Linked DNA regions of Tamandua tetradactyla. The protein of the gene in region 3 interacts with the protein of the main gene of each other region in a pairwise test. Links are inferred from orthologs where the notes say so. Each region holds a gene or a part of one and is shown on either strand. Other genes may lie near its edges. The genes, in order: HPCAL4, VSNL1 and FAM131C.

Region 1 (7,123 bases), about 24 Mb from region 3:
CCAAGGGAAGGCAGGATACCTAGGCTGATAGTCCCACCACAACGGCACACAATTTGGGGCTGGGCAATTTCCCACAGCAAAATCTGTTCTAATCACTTTGTATATATTAACTCATTTAAATCCTCAGGATAGTCTTATGAGATAGGTACTGTTATCACCATCCCTATTTCACAGATGAGGAAACTGAGACACAGAGAAGTTGAGAAATTGTCCATGATCACACAGCTGGTAAGTGATAGAAATGGGAGGCAAATCCAGGCAGCCTGGCTATAGAGTCTTTGCACTTAAGCTACTACACTCTATGCTTCTCCAGCAGGAGAAGGGGGAATACATGCAGAATGCAGGACAAGCTAAAACACAAAATCTCCTGCAGCAGTTATCTTTCAAGGGAAGGATCACAGAGAACTTCCACTTTCTTTGTCTCATTTTTTAGCCACCAAGAAAAGATAATAGAGAGATTTCTATTTTGGAATTTAAAAATAAATCTTGCTTAGCCAATAGGAGAAAGGGAAGGAACTCAACTCTGGTGATCTCACTCTCCCAGCCACAAAAGAGACTGTGAAATATCTAGAACCCATGGGAATTCCAGCTGTCACCAGGCTGCACTAGCTGAAGCTGAGGAAACCCAGGGAGGTAGGAAGGCATTATCCATCATAAAGGCAGTGTTTGGGGGCCAAGGAGGAGCAAAAAGCAAATTAAAGTGGTCACTGCATGCAGATCTCAAAGTCCGATTAGATTCACATCCCTCTTAGAGTACCCTTTGGGGGCCTCCCACGCAGCCACACTGTTCCCTTTTTCACACAGCCTCCTCTGCCTTCCTCATTCTGCAGGACCTGCTCCTCCAACACATGGAATAGGTGTTTGCCAAGGCGCCACGCTTGAGAACAGAAAGACCACAATAAAGTTCCAGAGCTTAAACCTTATTCTTCTGGCTCAGCCTTCAGCCTCATAACAGTGGAAACCCCAGTTCAGTCCTGGATGCTACCCCTTCCCAGGAGCACAGCTCAGTCAGTCCTGGATGCTACCCCTTCCCAGGAGCACAGCTCAGTCAGTCCTGGATGCTACCCCTTCCCAGGAGCACAGCTCAGTCAGTGGATGAGAACATGTACCTGAAGTCAGGTGGACATAGGCTCAAATTCTAACTTGTCGTTAAGGTACTGCATTACAACTTCTCTGAGCCTCCATTCCATTGCCGTGAAATGAAGTCCTATAATGACATCACAACTGATATACAGACGTTATGCACCAGTTCACTGAACTCGCAGTTAAAATATAAAAACTCTCCCATATTGGTTGGTAAATACATAGCCATATCCCTGAGCCCCCCCCCCCCCCCACGACCCGAGCTTCTCCTATACACACTCCCCTTGATCCAGGAACTAAAGTGTTAACTCTTGGCAGAATAGAGAGCCACCAAGACATTGATCTAGCACTGAGTCCGGTTCTGACTGGTAACGTTAGTGCCTTGGGGGGTTGGTAGATATTTTTAATGTCACCCTTGTCAGTGGGTATCTTTGGGATTAAGTAAGATGATGCAGATAAAGGACTCAGCAGAAAGTCTGGTACATGCTGAAGCAATTCAGTTAATGTCAGCTGTTATTGCCTTAAACATCAAACCTAGGGGAGCAGAGGCAAGATCAAGGTCAGGATCTCAGAGTCAAATATTAGAAGCAGATGAGATGGGTTATGACAGGAGCAGTCATGGGGGGTTCTGGAATGATTCATGAGCCAAGCTGCATGGCGGTCCTGCATGGTTTAAAAGAGCTGGAGCATTATCAATCTATACTGCTTTACCAAATGTCCCTTGTTTCCCTTCTCATGTTTGCCTGGGATACCTTGGATCCTGTGCTTGACTCCAAGAGAAGTCACACACTGACCTTTGCAGTTTATGAAAGCTTCTACTTGTCCAGCTCTACTGCTACTACTGGACTTCCATGTCTCGGAGGCCTCTGAGATAGAGAAGCTGCTCCCAGAAAACTAGACTTTCTGATGAATGGAGAATCAGAAGCGAATATTCCCTTTCAAGATCCTGCCACTTCAGGACTTGAAAGATCTTAAGGAGAGGCAGTATTATGTATTGGCTAGGAGTGGGTCTCTGGAGCCAGACTGCTTGGGTTCAAATCCTAGCTGCAGTTTTATTAGCTATGTGAAATTGAGCCAGTAGTTTAACTTCTCTGTGCCTCAACTTCCTCATCCATTAAGTGGGAATAATAATAGCACCTAACTCATGAGTTCTTTTTTTTTTACATTAAAATATTGGTTTTTATTATGTATCACTGATGTTATAGGACTAGCAATAAAAAGCAATTCTACCAGGATTAAACCATTGAAAAATCACACCACAAGTTTCAAAAACATCAAGGAAATGTAATGCACAAAAAGAAATGAGGTCTTATGAGGAATAAATTAGGTAATACATATAAAGTGCTATAATAGCAACTGGAGCAAAGTAAGCTTCTCAATATATTAGCAATTACTAAGGGACTCAAAAGTCTAGTAGAGCAGTCAGATTTATGCCTGCTGAATTATTCTGTCCAGGGTGTCAGTCTTTCTTCACCTTCCTATTTGAAATTCTTTTTTCTATTTGAAATACAGATAGCCCTCTGTACTATCTCCCATATCTTAGAGACCAGGAGGCCCAGAGAGAGAGGAGGATCTTGCCCACTGTCATATGTGGGGTCATTGGCAGAGATGGAGCAAGAGTGAGTTCTAACCCATCTCTGGGTCCCCTGGGCCTAGGGCAGAGAAGGTACCTGGGAAATAACAGAGGCAGAGTTTCAGGCACCTTGTGAGCTACCCACAGATGATACCAGGTATGTGCCTCCTAACTGGAGACCTAGGTGCACCCGCGCTAGGCGCTCAGAGGTAATATAGCCTGCTGCCCAAAGAATGGCTCAGCAAAACCCGTTTCTAAAGAAGAAGAACATTGGCTTTTGCTCCAGAACGAGTAGCTCCAGAGTTGCTGGGACCAGCCCCAGAAGCCTATCCTCCACCAGGGGCTGGACTCTCCCCTAACCCCCAGCTTGCCACTACATTAGCCACTTCATGGTCCAGTCTTCACTGCTACCCCTCAGAATCTTCCCTCCCATTCAACTTGTTCCCAAACGCCCGGTCCGCAGGCTTGACTTATTCTCAGAAGCTCCTCCTCCCTGTGGCCCAGTCAGAGGACACCTGCTCCCCTTCACCCCCAGTTTTGGGTTAAAACGATTCCTTTCTATCCCCTTGGGCCAGGGATTCGCAACCGTCAGTGCAGCCCGGGTGGCCTGACCGGTCTTCGGGGAGACCCCCAGTGCACGAGGGAGGTGTCCTCGGGGCCCTGAAACCTTCCAGACCCTCTCAGTGTAAACCGCCTTGGGTTTGTGTCAACATCCGAGGCCGGAGACTGGCGGCGGCTGCGGGCGGGCTCCGTCTACTGGACGGAAAGACGGGAAGATGGGGAATGGAGGGGTCCATGGGTTAGACAGAGGAATCCTTCTGGCAGAGAACCTAAGAAGCATACTGGAAGTCCTTGGGAAATAAGGATGGCCTGAATGGGGAGGAGTCCCATTCCCATTAGGGGCTGTGGGGGTGGCTGTAAGGAGCCCACGACTAGTGGGAGGCTACCTGGAGGATGGGTGCTTCAACATGCATATTTGCGCTGTCTGCGCCCACCCTCTCTCCTCTTTGCTCCAAGGCATGAGGGGAGTGGGTGTCTATAGGGAGGGGCTCAGAGTCGTGGGCTGTTAGACCACCCCATGTTTTCTCTCCCCCACCCGGCTACTCGGCAGCTTCTTGTAGGCCCCTTCCAATTTCGGGTGGGCTATGAGGGGTGGGGCGCGTCTTGTGATTCATCCACCCCCACCCCTGCTGGGGCCCAGGAAGGGAAGGCTTGGAGACTCGGCTGTGGCTCTCGGTTTCCATAGCAACGGTGTGGTTGTTTCTGCGAATCCTTTTCAATCGTTGACAGTTTTCACCCTAGACGGTGGCCCGGGGTCTGAGCCTCAGAGTGGGAGTGCAGATGGGGCTGCAGCCCACCCCCTTCTTCCCGACTCCGGGAAGGTCAGCGCGGGCGGGCGGGCGGGGCGCGCTCCTCCAGCCGGGCCTCGCGGGCCACCCCATCCCCACCTGAAACACCTCCTGTCACTCCGCCCCAGCCGAGCCAATCAACGCCAAATTTGCTCGAGCTGAGGCGGGAATTATGCAAATCGTGTCGCCTCGGAGAGGCACATAGTGATACAAGAGAGGCGGCTCCGGTGCGGACCTCGGAGAGCCCGGCCGCCTGCTAGTCTCGGTCCGCGCGGCCCGCGGAGGCGCAGAGCCAGCCAGCCACCCGGCGAGCGGCCTCAGGTAATGCGGGCGGGGCCGGGACCTCGGAAGCGCCCCGCCGGGCCGAAGTCCTTGCCACCCTCCACTCCCCATTCCCATCTTCTTCTCTAGCCTCCCCTGATTCATCTCCCTGGCCCCCGCTTCCGTCATAGGCGTCAGCATCTGGAGGGCCGCCGCGGGCGGGCGGGGGACCCCGATCTCAGTCAGACCCCGAGGGCCCCAGGGAGGGAGGAGAAGCCACTTCTTTACCTCCGGCTCAGGTAGGAACGACCCTTTCCCTGGGCTCCCAACACACACACACACATACACACACCTGGAGGTGTGGTGTGGCCAGTGTGAGTGGAGGCACCAATCACCCTCCCTCTGGTTGCCTTCAGAGACTGATAGTCTGCCCAGCCCCATGGCAACCTCCCACCACCACAAATAGCCCTCACCCACAACACCCAGCTCCACCCCCCCCCCAGCAGCTCACTGCTCTTCACACCATGCAGCCCCTGCCCCCAAAGACAACCTCATAGAAAGTCAACCTACTCCCACTTCACATGGTCCTCTCAGTGTCACCACTTCCCACCCGTCAAGCTGGCAGAGCTCACAGCATACCTGAGAGAGGGAGGGAGGCGCCACCACAGTTTCTTTCCTCACAGACATTCTCTCAACAGCCTGGCCATCCCTATGACCCCAGTGTTGGGAAAAGGCCCCATGTTTGGCCTCTTTCGTCCTGGCTGGGGACCCTTCCCAACCCCATCCCTTCAACAGACTATCTATATCTTCCTAGTCACTGCAGCCAAGAGACCAGCTTCCAAGCCTCCTCCATTCCCCTCCTGCCTCCCAGCCAAAGCACCAATTTCTCTCCTTCTACCTCTCAAATGTCTTTCTAAGTCATACTCTCTGTGGCCTTCTTGAACCTAGTCCCTCCCTCCCTTTTCCAACTTCTTGCTGCCAGAGCTCCAATTGGACTGTGTTGCTTCTTTCCCTGAAGTGGTCTGAACCTGGAGGGAAGAAGATCTTGCCTTTGCCCCAAGTTGCCATTTAACTTTGGTCAAGTCACTTCCCTCTCTGATTCACTGTGGAATGGGAGAGGTGAGCAGGATAGGGGGTAAACTGGATGAGATGATCTTTAACAGCCTTCCAACACTGACGTGTTCTGATTCTTTGGCTGATTATGAGAAAATAAGACCCTTTCACTCTTTCCCTGAACCATTAGGACAATTCAGACAAGAGGCCTGAGGAACTTCAGCCCTCACCAAAGGGATATCTCTTCTTACCCAGGCCTAGATCCAAGTCATTTCCTCCCATACGTTCTCCAGGCCTCTTCCACAAGAGTCCCTCCAAGGCACGGACAGCCCCAAGATGGGGGTGGTTAACAGTGCCCACCCTTTGTTTAGTATCCCTTTGGTTCTCATTAACAAGTAGATGGAGAAGTTTTGCTCAGCTGCAGACCAAAGACCTGGGTGCTGCTGCTGCTATTGCTGCTGCTTGGAGAAGAGCAAGGGAAGGAAAAGAAAAAGAGAAAAATCTCCTGACCAGGGAGCTGATGTCACCATGGCAACAGCCTCAGCACCAGCTCCTCTGAAGCTAGTGAGGGTGTGGGATTATTGCCTTCCTCAGTCCCTCCCACCCTTACTTCGCATTCTAAGCCCAAAACCCTGAGCCCTGTCCTCTGGAAGAAGCCTCAGAGCACAGAGGAGACAGTGGCTCTGTGTATGGGACAGTACCAGCTTCTTCACAGCTGGAGGGAAGCCTTCAAGAGGTTAGCAGAGCCATAGCTGCAAGAGAGCATGCCTGCAGGTGGATTCTGGCCTCCACTTTGCTACTAATGGGCACTGGCTGACCTTGAGCAAGCCCTTCCCTTCCCTTTGTCTGGGTTCCATTGCTCTGAATTGGGTAAAATGGTAGGAAAACAGATAAATGAAACAGCCCAACATAAGATCCAAGGAGGAAGAAGGGAGTTTTGCCCTTTTAATGTACTCCACCAAAAGATATTCACTGAACATCACCATGTTCCAGGCACTATCTTTAGGTCCTTAAAGGGTGATTCTCTGTAGCCACAGAGGGCAGAGATGGAGCCAATGTGGGGAGCTACAAGGAACAATGGAAAAAAGGCTCTTCTCACTGTCCAAGCTGCTCAAAGGTGGGCTAAGTCATATTGGGAGGGGGTAAGCATCTTGCAATTGAACAAAAAGGTCTGGAGAACATTTTCTGGTGCAGGCAAGGATTTAATGCAAAGGCTTCTCCCATATCAGCTTCCACCCTGGGATTCTAGAGCATCAGGCAAAGGTCACAGAGCTCTGAAGTCTACATGCTTGTGAAGGCTGGACTCCATGGCCTCCTAGGGTTATCCATGTCCAGATGATGACCCCATGCTGTTGACCATTCACTGTCTGGGCTGGAAGAGGCTGGTCATAAGGAAGTGGGCTTCAGCCAGGACCTGCAGGCTGACTATAGCCTACATCAGCCCAGAAGAGAAAATAGGGCATTAAAGGAGAGGAAAGCAACTAAGCAAATAGGTGAGATAGGTCCCAGCCATGAGAAACTTAGTTTGAAAAGAGTATGGGGTTGTGAGGGGAACGTTAGAAGGTGAGGCTAGACAGGTGGACACCTTGAGGCCAGATTCTAGAGGATCTTAGAGTTGGAGGGGACCTATGGGCATGGCCACCTCTAGTGTATTGTACTTCTGTGCAAAACTGGTAAAGGTGTTCCCTTGGAGCAGAAGAATCAGAAGAAAGGCACTCCCTGTGGGGCAGTTGAATGGGCATATACATGAGTTGGCTAACAGACCCCCAGGTTGATTTCACTTCCAAAGAAGAAATGACAAGAC
Region 2 (7,420 bases), on a different chromosome or scaffold from region 3:
GTGCACCCCACCCCACCCCCCCGCCCTCTCCAGGTGCTCCAGCGCCTCAGGTAGGAATCCTGGAGGTCTCCCTGCAGGAGGCATTTCCGCTGGCTGCGGCATCCTCCCCGGTGCCTGCAGAGGCGCAGAAGGCCAGGATTTCATTGGGCTTGCCCTCGGGAAATTTTCATGAAGGGAAGAAAGGGAGGAAGAGAGGAAAAGGAGGGAAGACAAGGCCGGTGTCCTGCGTGGCTGCACCTGTCCAGACTCAACGTGATGGAGCTGCGCCAGCGCCTCCGAAGCCCAGGGCCGCAATGGCCGCGCGGCTCCCCACGTGGGCTCCGCTTAAGCCTCCCGCCTCTGCAGCCTCGCCCGCCTCGCCCGACCTGCCGTGTCCGGAGGATCCCGCAGGGCTGCGCCTCTGAGCGGGGTCTGCCTCCCAGGCACCAGGCCCGCTTGGGAAGAGGGTGCACGGGTCGGACGGCGGGGGTGGCACCGCAGTGTCCCGAAGGCTGGACTCCCCGAAGGGTCCTGGGGCTTAGGGCAGGGAAGGACGGGGGCGGGGGGGGGGGGGGGCGCGCGCCGGCAAACAGGGGCTGCGTCTGATCTGCCCCTTCTCTCCAGCACCCCGAGGGTTCCAGAGAACCTGCCCGAGATGCAGAGGCCGGAACGGCCAAGAGAACGTCCGCCGAGGCAGGTTATCGGCGGTGGCTGAAACAGAAAAGAGATGGAAGGAGAGCTTCCTAGGAAAAGAGAGGCAGAGGAGGGAGCGCTGTCATGGTCCCGGAGGCGAGCTTAAAAGACGGGCTGCAGGAGCAGAGGTGGTTTTCTTTCTTTTTTTTTTGAGATTGCAGCACCATCACACTGGCAACTGCACGCAACATCACTTACTCATTTCCTATTCCACAGACTAGTAGTCAATTGATTTCTTTTTCCAGCTCCATGGCGCCGGGCCTCAGTTCCCTCATTTGTAAAACAAGGGACTGACCTCACGCCTTCTAAAGTCTCTTCCCAATCTGACCCTTATTAAGCCTAGGACCCAGGGAATCCAAGACCAAACATCTCTGTGATGTAGTCGGGGCTCCCCTTTCCTCCAGCACCTATCAATCACTGGAGCCTGCCCCTCACGGAACCGGTGCCGCCTCTCAAGAGAGGGCAGGCAGTAGTCGCCATTGTGACAATGGCTGGTCCCTGTGACCTGGAGTGAGGAAGGGGCTGACAGGGTAGGCTTTATGACTGCTGGGTTTCTAAGGAGATATTCTCAAATTTGCAACTTCAAATTCCACCCATTTAAATAAATCATGAATTCCTGTAAGAGGCTCCAGGTAGTTGGATGGATAAAAGGGCCAAACAGGGATCCCTGTAAGAAGGATCTGCCTTATTGGGGGAGTTTTCATTTTATTTTATCTCAGAAACTGGACCCGAGCTTTCCCTGGGAATCACACACTGGCCACACTCTTCCCTTGTCTGCTAAAAGCTGCTCCAGTGCAGCTTTTCCTGGGCTTGTTGAAGACGCGAGGCCTAAAGAGCGCGGGTTACCGAGTAAATGCTCGTGATGCGGGACTCCCGCTCTCAGCCCCACCCCCAGCACACGCAGGCGGCTTGGACGGGGTGGGGGTAAAATGAGATTCTACAAGAGTTTCATTTTGATTTGTCTTAACCTGAAGTTCCTTTATTTTTCCTTAAATTTTAATATGTAGAAATAAAACTCTCTCTCTCCTCTTGCCTTCAAGTGGGAAGCCACACACAGACAGTCCACAGCTTGCGTTTTCCACACCCGCCAGCATTTCCATTTTATTTTGGTTTCCAAAATATGGACAGGAAGGCAACTCCAGGAAAATGGATTCGCCACTCCCAGGCCACCGCGCCGCGCAGCCCCGCATACTCGCAGGGAAGTGCCCTGCGCCCACCGCACTCTCGCAGGGACCTGCCGTTTACTGGAGCCCCCCGCCCGCGCGTCCCCATCGCTGCCATTGCGCCTCCGAGGTGGTTTCCAAGCGGAGTTTGACCTTGTAAGGACACTTCTTCAGCTTCTGGGCAAGGACCACCCATCGGAACCGAAATCCCAACGACCTTTTCTCCTTTAAGGAAGCCCAGGGCCCGAGAGTGGCACATCTGGCTCGGGGCGCCCCGCAGCCCGGAGCAGGCAGGCGCAGGCAGGGGCAGGTAGGCGCAGGCAGCCAACTAGCGCGCGTCTCGAGTCGCAGCCTCCTTTCGGAACCCACCGCCGACTGGGCGGGAGCCCCCATCCCCTTTTTTTCTGCCTATTCACCACCGCGACAAACAATCAGAAAGAAAAATGATCGACTCCTTTCTAGGTACGGAGAGGAACGTGCCCAGGCTGCGCCTCACTCAGTGGGTCCGAACCCTGCAGCCCGCTGAGAAACCAGCCCTGACTTGCACACCATCTCGTCCGCTCCGCTTCGCTTAGCAAACCCCTGCTGCTCTTCCCGCGACGGAAACCGTGCACCAAGCCCCGAGGGCAGGCTGGCGCTCCTCCGCGGCCGCTCCATAGCTCCCTCAGCAGCGGGAAAACTTCCCAGCCCGTCAATTAGCGACTTAAATCTGGGCAAGAGAACCCGCCTGCGTGGAGACGCACCAAACAGCCTTTCAACCACCCTCTCTGAAATCGAGCCTCAGACAATCCCGCATCGCGCCGCCAGCACCCCCTCCTCCCCCACCTTATTCCGAGAGGTCCCCCCCACGCTACCCTGCAGCCGCCAGCTTCAACCAGAGGGGCTGGCCCCGTGCGCCTGCACGCACCCGTGCAAAGCGAGGTCTGTGCCAGCTGCCCAGGCACCGCGCTGGCGGCTGCCTGCGCTACCGCGCACGAAGGCAACCAAGTCGCCTGGGCCACTTACAGTCTCAGCGCTGCGCAGGGCCCCTTCCCGCGAAGGAGAGCACTCAGCAGCTCTTTATCTGTATGGATGTGGTGTGTTTAATTCGGGTGAGCGGTGAAGCCGTCTCGAGTGGGGTTCTCTTGCGCTGCCTCTCCCCACGGAGCTCTGGAGCAGCAGGACTCGCTCCGCAGTAGCGCCCGCCTGCCTGAGTCTGCTGCAGATCCGGAATCCCATAGAAAAGCCGAGGGCCCTGGAGCCCGGTGCGCAGGCGCATGAGCCTCCGCCTCCCCCCGCGCCCCTCCCCCTTCTCCTCCCGCCCGCCCTCCGCCCGCAGCGCCGCAACCCCAGCCCGCGAGCGCGGGAGCGCGGGACCCAGAGTCGCCCCGCGCCGGCGCATGCTCAGTTGAGGGGCTCGGGGCCGGCGCGCGCGGAATCCGCATCTCCAGCTTTTAGCAGAAACTCCGGGGAAGGTAGACAGGCGCCGGGCGCGGGGCTGCGGGCCACGCGGGCACCTGGGCGCGCGCGCGCGGGGAGGCGGGCTGGGCTCGGCCCCGCGGCCACCCAGCCTTGGCGCGGAAGGCCGGAGAGGGGACGCGGGGACCCTGCCTCCAGCCGCTGTCGGGCCTCGCCGACCCCGGCTCAGGCCTCGGTGGCGCATGAGGTGCAGGAAAACCGGCAGAAACACTCCTCGGAGGAGGCCTGTGAGCTGGGCGCCGGGTCCCCGAAGGGACAGTCCCCGGGCACTTTGGCCGGGGGCATCTCATCCCGGGCTCATCAGCTGGAGCCCTGGGGGCGCAGGGCCCCGGCCCAAAGCAGGCGTGGGAGAAATGTGTGCTTCTTGCCCTGTGCGACCTTCAACAAGTCATGCTCGCCAGCAGCGAAGGTTTAAAAACGAGCGCCTTCTGTATGCCTTTTGTAAACGCTGTTGAATATGCCTGGGTGTAGGGGATGGCCCATCCTGCGAACCCGGGGTGCAGGCCCTCACCAAACGCCCCCTTGCGTCCCTGAACGACCCCATGCGTGCCAGCCCTGCCTCGCTCCCGATGGCCTGCCAAAGCCTAGAAGACTTGGCAAGGAGTCGTGCCCAGTAAATGTCTGCTCGTTGCCCTACCAGGAAAGCAGGGAGACTGCCCAGATGTTCCCGGCCTGCTCGCTCACCCCAAGGCTGCGCGCATGGGCAGCAGCCCCCCAGCCTGAACCCCGGACACCCACTGCCTCCATAAAAGGCACTTTTCTGGGCACTGGCCGTTTACAGTCAGGCGAGATTTTTCCTTTTTCCGGGGGAGGGGAGTGATGTGGACTCCACGAGGAAGGACGTTCCCCCCAAGTAGAGAACTTGACAGTTTGCACAGCGCCCTCCCCCATCACCTTCGGGGAGACGGCACTGAACCTTTCGGCGCTGGGGACACCAGGAGCGTCTCTCGTGGCAGACCTTGGCTGCCGGGGAGGGCTCTCCTGGGGGCCCCAGCTGGGAAGGGATCCCGGCCACCTGCGCGCAACCTGGAGAACGCGGTTCCACGCGTCGGGGCCTCGAAGGCTGCGGCCAGGCTCCGACCCTCGGGCGTCCCAGCTCAAAGCGCGACGGGTCCCGGCCCCCGCCCCCAGCACCCAGCACCCAGCCGCGTGCCGCTGGCCCCGCGCTTCTGGAAAGCGACGCACGGGGTGGGGGGTGGGGGGCGGGGGGTGTGCGCTCTCGGACTCGGGGGACCCGGCGTGTGGCACGCCTTTCCCCGCGGGGTTCCTCGGCCGGGTGCCGGCGACCCGGGAAACCCGGAGCGCGGAGCGGCGCGGAGCAGGGCGCGCTGCGGCAGCGGTACTGTCCTTGGCGGCGCCGCGGCGCACGGGATGCGGCTCGGCGCTGCGGGGCCGCAGTCCGCACTGCGCAGCGGGGCTCCCCGCGCCGCCACCGCGCGCGCCCCGTGGTTCCTGGGGTGGGGGAGGGGGTGGCTAAACTCAGCTCTGTTGGCTGGGGAGACAGTCTCCAAGGCTTTCGGAGTAATCTTCCGTCTTTTATAGGCTCCCTCCCCAGAAGCGGCTTGCCCTGGGCATTTCGGTTTTTCTCCCCAAAACATTCTCAAACACCGCGCCCCGCCCCCGCAATCGGCATCAATCGAGGCGGTTTCTCTGCTTCAAAGAGATGTCCCTATTTCTCGCCCCGGAGGTCGTTTTGGTGACTTCCTCGTTCCATGCAACTCCCTTTCAACTTGTGTCCAGGGAGATGTGCCCCCGACGCCCCGCCGTGCTGGGGTCGCGCGCCTCGGATTTATTTTCTGCGCCTTTGTAAGGCGGCTTTGTCCGATTGGGCAGGCTTTTTTCCCCCTTAATTGAAGTTGGGTTGTTTCCGTTGTATTAGAGCGTGGTTTGAAGCCCTTAATGCTATATCTTGATTTTTAATCGCCAGCTGTTCTGTGGCTTTTAGAGCCCTAATCTTTTTTGTTCAGTTGTTTTTTTTTCAGATGCCCTTTGGTCGAGTTTTATTTGTAGCACGAAGCCACACTAGAGAAGCCAATTCTAAACTGTCCTTTAATTGCAGAAAGCGGTTCCCCTCCTTAGGGCGGCAGCATGACCTTGAAAGGGGAACGTAGTAGGGATCTAAACCGACCGAGCCCGCTGGGCCTCTCCTGCTGCAGAGCTGCGCGTCGCTGGTGAGCTTGCAGGAGCCAGGCCCAGCCTGCGCCCGGGGGCGGGGTCGGGGTGGGAGTAGGGGTGGGGGCTGCCGCTCAGCCGCTGTCTCTCTTTACCCAAGGCAGGTCCAGGTGGAGGGTTTTTATTTTATTTTATTTTAGGGGGAGTGGGATGCTGTGGGCAGGGAATTGTTTATTCCTTCATGAGTCTGGGGAGAAATTCCTCAGTTGCCCAGAAACACTTAGGCATTTTCCTTTCCTCAGTTGCAAATCACGTTCTTTATGCAGGTTCCTAGCCTCACTCCCACCACACTCCTTCAAAGATTCAAGCAAAGAAAATGAAATCAAACCAAGAATACTTTTTAAAGATGGCCACAGCCACATTTAATATTCCCAATTGTGTCAAATGTGGCACGGACACACTGAGAATGACAGTAAAAATGAGAAAATACCAGCAGTACAACAGGTCTAAACTTGTGGTTCTGCAATCTCATTATAATATCATTTGTTAGAAATGTTTGTGTATAAATATGAGGAAAGAACTGTAGAACTTAAGGCATGAGGGCAGCTAGAAAACTGGAAGAAAAATAAGGTGTTTTAAAGTTCTCATTAGAAAATGAAAAGCGATAAGAATTGGAAAACAGATATTCATTTAAATTCCTAAAGAATTATGGCAGTAATTTTCTTGTATGGGCAAAATGCCTTTATTCCAAAAGCTAAGGTTATTATCTTTACAGAGAAGTGTTATGTAAGATAATTTCATGTATCTTTACTTTTTATCCTGTTTTTAAAATGTATGGTGTTTTAGTTTCCTAAGGCTGCCTCCAAGCACCACAGACCAGGTGGCTTAGCGAGACCAGAATGTATTGTTTCACAGTTCTGGAGATTAGAAGCCCAAAACCTGTGGGGGAAAACCCTTCCTTGCCTCTTCCAGTCTTCTGGCAGTTCGCCTCCCATCCTGGGTTGGTCCTGACCTCCACGGCGGCATGGCCACCTCCTTCCATCTCTGTCCGTTCTTCCCTTCTCATGGAGACAGGCTGTGTTGAAACAGGGCTCGACCTCATGCGCACTGGTCTCGTCTTCATTACCCACAGCTTCAGAGACCCTTTTCCCAAATAGGGCTATGGTCACAGCATTAGGGTGGGAAGCCTGCACATGTATTTTTGGAGACACAACTCAACTTGTAACATATGGATGGACGGAATCAATAAAATAACTCCCCTAAAGTCAGACAGGATGCCATCTCCTAGAATACAACTTCACAGCAAACTTTCTGGTACATAACATGTTTCATTGTACATGTTTGTACTCTTCTGAATGTGTTTCTAAAACAAGTGGGAAAAGGCAAGGTGAGGGAGTTGTGATTGCCAGTCGGACAGAGGCCATTCCACGCCTGTCTACACAGAGGAGGGGTGAGCAGTCTAGGATTTGTTGGACCCCGTTGGCTATTTCTCCCTGTCCTCCCCTGGTTTCTTTCTTGCTTGCTTCCAACTTTTTATTTTGATACCTTTTTGAATTTAGAGTACAACTGAAAAACTAATAAATACAAAACCCATACAGAGAATGCCGATACACCCTTCACCCCAAATATCAGACCCATCAATTTTAACATTTTGCCACATTCACCATATCATTCCACCTACCCACTCCTCCGTCTATCTATTTTCTAAACACTTGAGAGTAGGTTGTGTAGCTCATGCTCCTTGAACTTAATACTTTCATGTACGTTTTCTAAGGATTAAGGGTATATTTTCACATACACAACCACCTTAAGTGCAGTTATCAAATTCAAGAAATTTGGCATTGATGTAAAGCTTATCATCTATATTCCAATTTTTTCACGTCTCAATAATGACCTTTTGGATCATTTCTCCGTCACTAGATCTGGCCCAGGATCACATCTTGCATTTAATTGGCATCGTCTCTTTAGTTGCTCTTCATTTTTGAATTATGGAAACATACATTGAAAAGTTTCCC
Region 3 (7,756 bases):
AGAGAAAGGCCTTCCCTATGGGTGAATACAGCCTCGTAGTACACAGCTTAGCAAGATGACACCTTTCTTTGTGCTAAGAAAAAAGCTCCCCAACTGGGCCAGAGACAATCTCATTTCAGAGCTTAGGGCTTGGTGACCAGAGCACAGGTGGGGTTCCAGTCCCTTTCCCCTTAGCTGGGCACCTTTGTGCAGGGCACAAGCTGCACAGCCTTGAGCCGTGGCTGCTTTGGCAGCGTGGTACTTTCTAGGTCAATTGGCCATGGGAGGAAGGAAAATAAAAGCTGTAAAGAATGCTGCCGTCTCAGCTGCCCCCTGCTGGTCGTCAGCTGCATGACACCCACGATTGAGGAAAATCGTCTCAGGGGTCCCGTACCCTGGTCTCTGTCTTGATTAAAGCAGTAGACCTTCCTCCTTGCCAGTGGACATCTCGAGACCCAAGCTTTGGGGTAGGAGACCTCTGAATCCTGAGGAAGGGATCCCGTCCTGAAGTAGCCACCACAGACCAGGCCTGGGCCAGACATTTTGGAGGCGAAGTCACTGCTCCTGTTAACTCATGAGGCTGGTCTCTTGATGGTGACAGAGTTGCTGTGTCTCCTCCATCAGACTGGGAGCCCCCCCCCCCATCCGACTGGGGCTCACCCTTCTTCCTCCCTACGCCTAGACTTTCTTGCGCCGAGGGTTATGGGGGCGGAGGAATGCAAACTGACATCCAACTCCAGCTGCCAGTCCACTGTGCAAGTCCGGAGCTGAGAGTGGACATGTCCCAAGGTCAGCCTGTGGACTCCTTCATCAGGCTCCCTGCAGAGGCCTCCAGGCCGGGCCAGGTCTCCAGAGAAACCAGGAGCTCCACCTGGAATTTCATCTGGGCCTCGACCCACCCAAGAGCGAATGGAAGAATGCTCGGTTTACAGACGAGGAAACAGAGGATGGGGCTTCCCTTGGCTCTTTGGATGAAAACAGGTCCCCTTTGTGAGGCCCCGCTGAGGCTGGCTCCTGCCAGCCTCTCTCCCCCACCCCATCCTCTTTTCCCCGCCACCGTGGCCCTCCCTCCTCTGCAGCTCTGCTTGTGCTGTTTGCGGGGCCTCAGCATCTTCCCTCTCCCTGCCTGTCCAAGTCCTACTCTTCCTTCAGCTCTGGGCTCAGTCATTGCCACATCCTCCTGAGGGCTCCCTCCAAGCACGAGATCACATCAACTCCTTTTCTTCTACACTCTCACGGCTCCTCTCTAGCACTTCTCAGGGCTGTGATTCTAAACTCGTTGGGGTCATTACTTGGCCAGTGTCTGCCTCCCCCATTGGAACTCTCAGCTTCTGTGAGCAGGGACTTGGCCTGTCTCATTTGGGCTGAAATCTTAGCCCTAGACAGGACCTAGCACAGAGTAAGTGCTCAATATTTGCTGGGTGAATGCAATCAGTCCGAGCTATAACCTCTTTCCAGATATGTGACCCTGTATAAGTTGTACTTTCTTGCATTCATTCAACAAACATTTATTGAGCCTCTACTATGTATTGCTCTGGGTGCAGGATCTACCTGGCTTCAAATTTAGCTCTGTCTTTCCTGAGAAAACCAATACTGGGGAGGTGTTTGAGGCCCAGAGAAGGGCACACCCCCATCCAAAATCTCACCCTCTCCCACTGGTCCCCCAGACCTCATATACGCCTGTCTCCCTGTGTACCCCCAGCATTTCCACCACCAACATCTCTGCCTGCCAACATCCTACTCAACCTTCACAATCCGGTTCCAGGGTCACTGTCGCCTTCAAGCCTTCCCCATGGCCCTTGGCAGAAGCAACTCTCTCTTCTCAGCACTTGGCTGGTTGTGGGATGCAGCGCTGACCCCAAGTTATTTCTGAACATGCCACCCCACCCCCCCAGGCTGATTCATCACTGTAACAGCTCCTGTTGATTAGGCTTTCTCCGTGCAAACCCTGCAGCATCTCCTCTCCACGCTCCAGTGCCCAGCCCAGGGCCAGCATCACGGCGGGTGAATATTCGAGGGTTGAATGGGAAACAGCGGGGCAGCTGCTGGGGTGGGGGCTCAGCCTGGATTCCCAAAATCATGAAGGGATTCGGAGCATGAAGACACTGCTGGGCGCTCTCTCTTCTGGTCTCCTCACCCACCAGGGGCTCCGAGGGAGGGCCCTGGGGATAGGCAATGGAAGGTCACAGGGCAGGTAGGGGGAGCCAGGAAAGGACATCCTGCCCCTGGCGAAGGACAACCACACCTTTAGCAGTTGTCTGGAAATCGTCATCTTCAGCAGAATTCCAAGGACTGGGAAAGTGAATGTGGGTGTGCAAAGGGGAGCCCCCCCTGCCATGGTCCAGTCTCAGGGCTGCCAGCACTGGGGCTGGCTGGCAAGAGGCCTGGGTTCTAGAACTCACTTTGCCATGGATTTGCTGTGTGACCTTGGGCCAGCCCCGTCTCTCTCTGAATACCAATCTGCAATGAGGGGAGTAAGCCACATCCGCCTGCTGGTCAGTGTGAAATTGACCAGCACAAACATCTGAGGCTGGGACAGCCAGAATCTTCCCTTACCACCCCGGCATATCTCTGTGTTGGTCAGCCATGGGCCACAGGTAGGGACAGTGTCCAGCGTTGTCCAACTGGCTCTGTCTTAGGCTGAAGGGAGCACAGTGGGGTCCCAGCTTCCATCCCACTGTGAGCTGCCCCATCCTCTCTGCAGGGGTTCTCCTCCCTGTCCCCTCTGTCCCCAGAGCTGCGAGGCTGCCAGCTGGAGCGGCAGCAGCCGTGACCAAGCGCCTGCGTCATGGTGAGTCAGAGCCCTCCCTCCAAGCCAAATCCAGGCACTCCAAGACAGGAAGAGGAGAAAGGACACCTCTGCCGCCCCCACCCCACCCTTCAGGTCAGGGCACCAGAGCCTGGCCTGGCGCCACAGGCAGCCCCATCCCTCCTTCTCCACAGGAGGGCAGCACACACCTGACACCTGCCCACATTGGCATCAGCGGTGAACAGGGCGGACTTGTCCCTTCACAGACACCCACCTGGAGGCAGGCCCGATAGGACGGGCTCTGAGTCCCTCCCCACCCACCCCCCCACCACCGAATACAACACTGACCCAAGGACGGGCACATCTGTCTTGGTCTCACTGGCACATAGTAGGTGCCCCATAAATATTCACTGAATGGAGGTGCTCCAAGCTTCTCCTTGGGCCTTGGGAACGCCTGTTTCCACCACTGCTACTGCATTTTAGCCCTCAGTTATGAATCCACTATGTGCCCATCCTTTTGCATCTGTTCTCTCATGAAGCCTCGCAGCAATCCCAGTTGACAGAGGAGAAAACTGAGGCTCAGGGAGGTGAAGCGATGTGCTCACGGTCACACAGCTCGTGCAGGGTCTGCGTTCAGACCCAGACAGCTGACCCCACAACCGGGTGCCAGAGCACACACCACCGAACTTTGCATGGCCAAGGGCACCCACACGCACGTGACCCCCAGCAGTCCCTCCGGGCCCAGATCTTGCCCCGTTGAGGTCTCCATGCCCTGCCCAGACCTTCTTCATCCTCTTCATCACCTCGGTGAAGGAAACCTGGGAACCTGGCTCTCTCACCTGGTGTGCAGGTAGGTATGAGGATGGAGTGAGACCTGTGAAAGCAAGCACTCTGCGCATCATGACGTGCTGTTGGCCGGGGGAGGTCTGCTAAGGGACCTCCATCACCCTGCCAGGAGCTGGGGTGTGGTGAGGGTGAGCAAGAGTGTGAGTGTGTGTGCATGTGTTTGCGTGTGTGTACAATTGTGTGTGCATGTAAGTGAGCAGAGTGTGCCACTGTTGCTCCATGGGGGGGGGCACCTGGGCTGGGGAAGTAGCGCCCCCTTTCCGCTGTGCCTCTTCACGAGCCTGGAGAGGCAGCCTTGGTGCCCCTCCGGCTGCTGCCCCCACCCCCAGGCCCCATGGAGGGGGGGGTGGGGGGCGGGGGGCGGGGGGTTTGATTGTCTCTCAGCAGCGAGGCCACTAGTGCATGTGCCTACCCTGGACCAGCGTCCCCCAAAGGAGGGGCTGACTGGTCAGAAGTCCCTGTCCCTCTGCAGCTAAGGGAACTGGGCAAAGCATCTGACATCTGTGAGCCTCAGTTTCTTTCTCTGCAAAATGGAGATAATGGAGTTATAGTTATTGTGCCAGATGCCTGGTGTCCTCAACGTTATTATTATGATTATTAAATTAATGCTATTTCCTTTATGCCTCATATGCCAGAACTCTCTCCGCCCCCTCCCCGCCCCCCCATATCCCTTTCCCTGACCTTCAGCCCAAGTCAGCAGGTGGCGCGGGGGGTCTGAGGGCAGAGGTCCCCCTCTCATCCCCGAGTCCTCCAGCGGGGGGGAGTGGGGGGACGGCGGTACAGGTGCGTGGGTGAGAGGTGGCGGGGGGTGGCGGTTGGGGGACGGACAGGACCTGCGGGCGCGACTCCCGCCCCACCCAGCCCCGCGCAGCCCCGCACGCTCGGGTCCCCCGGGGCCCCCCGCCCCGCCCCGTCCCGCCGCGCCCCGCCCCGCGGTACCACCGGCGACCGGCAGGAGCGGGCGCGGCGCAGGAGGCGGCGGCCACGGGGCGGGAGCGGAGGCCGAGCCCAGCCGCCCCTGCCTCGCTGTCCGCCCGCCGCCCTCCCGCCAGGGCGCCCGCGCCGCGCGTGCAGCCCCCGGCCCGCGGAGACATGAGCGCCCCGCGGCGCGACGCACCCAAGGCGCAGCGGCCCGGCCCCGCGGCCCCGTGATGGGCTCCTGCGTGTCGCGAGGTGAGGGCACCGCGGGCCGGGGGTGGGCGGGAGGCTGGGTCCCCGCGCTGAGGACGCGTGCGCGCTCCGGGAGCTGGGGGTGGGGAGGGGGGAGGAATGGGGGAGGCGACCCCTGCCCCTAAAGCAGCCGGACCCCAGGGTCGCGGAGCTGGGAGACGGACAGGGTGCGCGACGGGCTGGCCGGGGTCCAGGGAGAGAGCGCCCGGAGGTCACCGCATCCGCGGCCCCCTCCCGGCTCGTGGGCAGTTGGCAGGAAGCTGGGTCCCTGTGCCATGCTTCCTCGCCGACAGCCACACACCCCCTGAGGTGTGCCTTGGAGGGGAGGGGGTTTCTGACCCAGCTTTGTGGAGGAACTGAGGGGGCACCAGGGAACAAGCAGACCCCCCCACACACACACACCCAGGCCAGGCCCCCAGCACCCCCTCCTCCCCCCAGCTCCTTCCCTCCTCTCCCTCATGCTCAAATCTTATCTTTAGAGTCCCTGAACCCCCCTGGCAGGAAGGGGTTAAGGGAGGTGAACAGGTGGTAAAGGTTTGCCATCCCACACCCTTGGCCCGCCTTCCTTCATCCTAGTTCTGGTCAGGGGAGAAGAAGGACAGAGAGCAGCTGGGTTTCCAGGAACCCCTGGGTCTGTCCCTCTGTCTCTGAGCCCCTCACCCTCTGCTCCAGTCCTGGCTGGGCACTCCTCCTGCCCCTGACACCCACCCTCCCCATTTTCCCCAGGGTAGCACCCGTGGAGCTGGAGTGCACTGCCCTTGCCTGGGGGACCAGGGCAGGCATGGAAGTGGGGGCCAAGGAGCCTTTCTCAGAGGCTGGGGGATGGGCAGATTGGTCTTTGGAGCCCCCACCCCCACTCCCCCAGTCCCGGCTTCCCAGGGGAACCTCAGGCTGCTGAGCAACATTTTAGCAAAAAGCTAGAGCTGGGCCACTCTCCCACCTGGAGCACTTCACCCCACGGTGGGGCCAGGGGCGCGGGGCTGGGGGTGGCTGCGGCCTTGGCTTGGGCTCTGCAGCCTGAGGCCAAACCCGCTGACCCCAACCACCCCACCCATCACCCCAATCGCCTTCTCATGTGAGATGAATAGGCCTTGGGGAGGGGTCGGGCAGGCCCTGGAGGGGACTGTGTCCTGGCAGGGGGAGCCCAGCCCTCCCGCCTTCCTCTGTGCTCTAAGGGGCTCTGCTCACACTAAAGGTGTCATGGGGACCATTTGGGTGAATGGCTCAAGATACCTCTTGAGGGTGTTGGGATGGGATTGTGGGTGGGGTGGGAAGGAACAGGGTCAGGCTTTTTGAGCTTCATTTATTCTTTCATTAAGTTGATAGTAACATGGTATAACATGGTACCTACTGTGTGCCAGGCACGTGCTCCACCTGAGCATCCCACCACAGCCCAGCCAGAGGGGAAGGTAGTTTTAAGAGTGAAAAGGGTTTAGGGTTGTTTAGGAGTCACAGGCTCATTGTCTCCAGAAACCCCGAAAGCGCTGGGTGGTCTCTGTCTGAGACTGTTTCCAGGTGGTGGGGGTCTGGGATCTGGTGTTTCCTTGGTAACTGTCCCTTCTCCGTCACTTGGCCTTCTGTGCCAGCACCGTGGAGACCCAGCCCCCAATGAATATCCCTGTGAGCTGTGGACCCACTGGGCACTACAGACAGGCCACAGGGGAAGGGATGCCTGCCAAGACAGTGTCCAGCCGGGGCTGGGCCCCCTGCCCGGTGCTCCCTCCCTGCACAGCACCCTCTGCCAGGCCTGTTTGGGGTCTCACCAGCCCCACATGCACTCTCCACCCTTCTTCCTGCAGCCTGGCCCACTCCCAGACCTAGCTGTGAATTCCAACCTCATCTCCCTGTGGAGAGGATGGGACCACTTATAGTCCCAATATGCACCAGGCCATCTGGACAAAGGTCAAAGGAGGTACAAGGAGCTGCTGGGACATTGTCCTCTACAGTCTGCGTGACCCAGACCCAGACCCACCCCTCTAATAATTACTAGTACTTTTTGAGTGTTTACAGCTTACCAGGTACTGTTCTGACAGTTCTAGATACAACTAGCAGAAGATCAACTATCACTATCCCCATTTTACAGATGGAGAAACTGAGCAGAGGGCAGTTGAGGAACTTCTCACAAGTCAGATCTAGGAAATAGCTGAGCCAGGATTTGAACCCAGGTATGCTAACAGCAGAGCCAGGACCCCCAGCCACAGCCAACCCTGACCCCACCGCTGGCACTTGTCCTGCTCCCGTCCAGCTGCAGGCTTCCCTGGGCTTCTGTGCCCCACACCTCCGCGCCACACCTTGGTGCCAGTGGCCAACCCCAGCCTCCCTGCTGCAAGTACTTCCCTGAGTCAGGTACGCAGCCCAAAGCCCAGGCCTAGGCTTGTGAGCCTTATCAGGCTGATGCTCGTACTGAGCCCCACGTGTGCACCCAGTGGGGCCATCCCAGCCGAAATTTAGGTACAAGTCACACCTGGGAGACCTTAGCCTGTCCCAGCACCAGGCAGCAGTTAGCTTCTACACCAGGCCCGGGAGGTTAGGAGGCAGGCTCTGGAGCCGGCCAGCCTGGGTTTGAGTCCCCACCCTTCACTAGCTGTGGGACCTCAAAAGTTTCTTAACCTCGGTGTCCTCATCTCTACAATGGGAATACTAACAGGTTGTTGGGGGAGTTAAATGCCTTGGTCCAGCACTCATGCAGCAAGCTACTCCAACCTGTTAGCTGTTTTGTTTTAAATTTTTATATTCACTCTTCTGTGCAGACAGCCAATCCAGACCATCTTGGCTGGGAAAGGGGAAGCAACAGAGGCTTCAGGCCCCAGCTTGTCTCGTTGGAAAAGAAGTGGGTGGCAGACATCTGTGATGCTGAGGACATCGGGAAAGTGATTGGGACCAGATTAAGGCCACAGATGCTGTTTTCAGGAGCTGTTTTGTGTTATCTATATTTAAGCTACTGTTTGTTACGTGCTAAGCTAGGCTGAGCCTTTCCTCCCCTGATACAGTCTTCATTCAACCCTGTGGGGC

Evidence for each region.
Region 1: the proteins of FAM131C (region 3) and HPCAL4 interact in binary tests that used the Homo sapiens proteins (3 or more experiments, as listed by UniProt). The two-hybrid records come from large-scale screens. The link is inferred for Tamandua tetradactyla from reciprocal best matches to the Homo sapiens genes FAM131C and HPCAL4.
Region 2: the proteins of FAM131C (region 3) and VSNL1 interact in binary tests that used the Homo sapiens proteins (3 or more experiments, as listed by UniProt). The two-hybrid records come from large-scale screens. The link is inferred for Tamandua tetradactyla from reciprocal best matches to the Homo sapiens genes FAM131C and VSNL1.

What each region holds. Positions count from the first base shown.
Region 1 is NC_135328.1:185,698,911-185,706,033, forward strand, and holds the start of HPCAL4 (hippocalcin-like protein 4), read left to right. Parts: upstream 1-4,083; 5' UTR 4,084-4,326; intron 4,327-4,467; exon of another isoform or gene 4,468-4,565; intron 4,566-7,123. UniProt on the Homo sapiens protein: May be involved in the calcium-dependent regulation of rhodopsin phosphorylation.
Region 2 is NC_135329.1:856,129-863,548, reverse strand, and holds the start of VSNL1 (visinin-like protein 1), read right to left. Parts: upstream 3,072-7,420; 5' UTR 2,841-3,071; intron 1-2,840.
Region 3 is NC_135328.1:209,801,212-209,808,967, forward strand, and holds the start of FAM131C (protein FAM131C), read left to right. Parts: upstream 1-4,693; 5' UTR 4,694-4,725; coding exon 4,726-4,747; intron 4,748-7,756.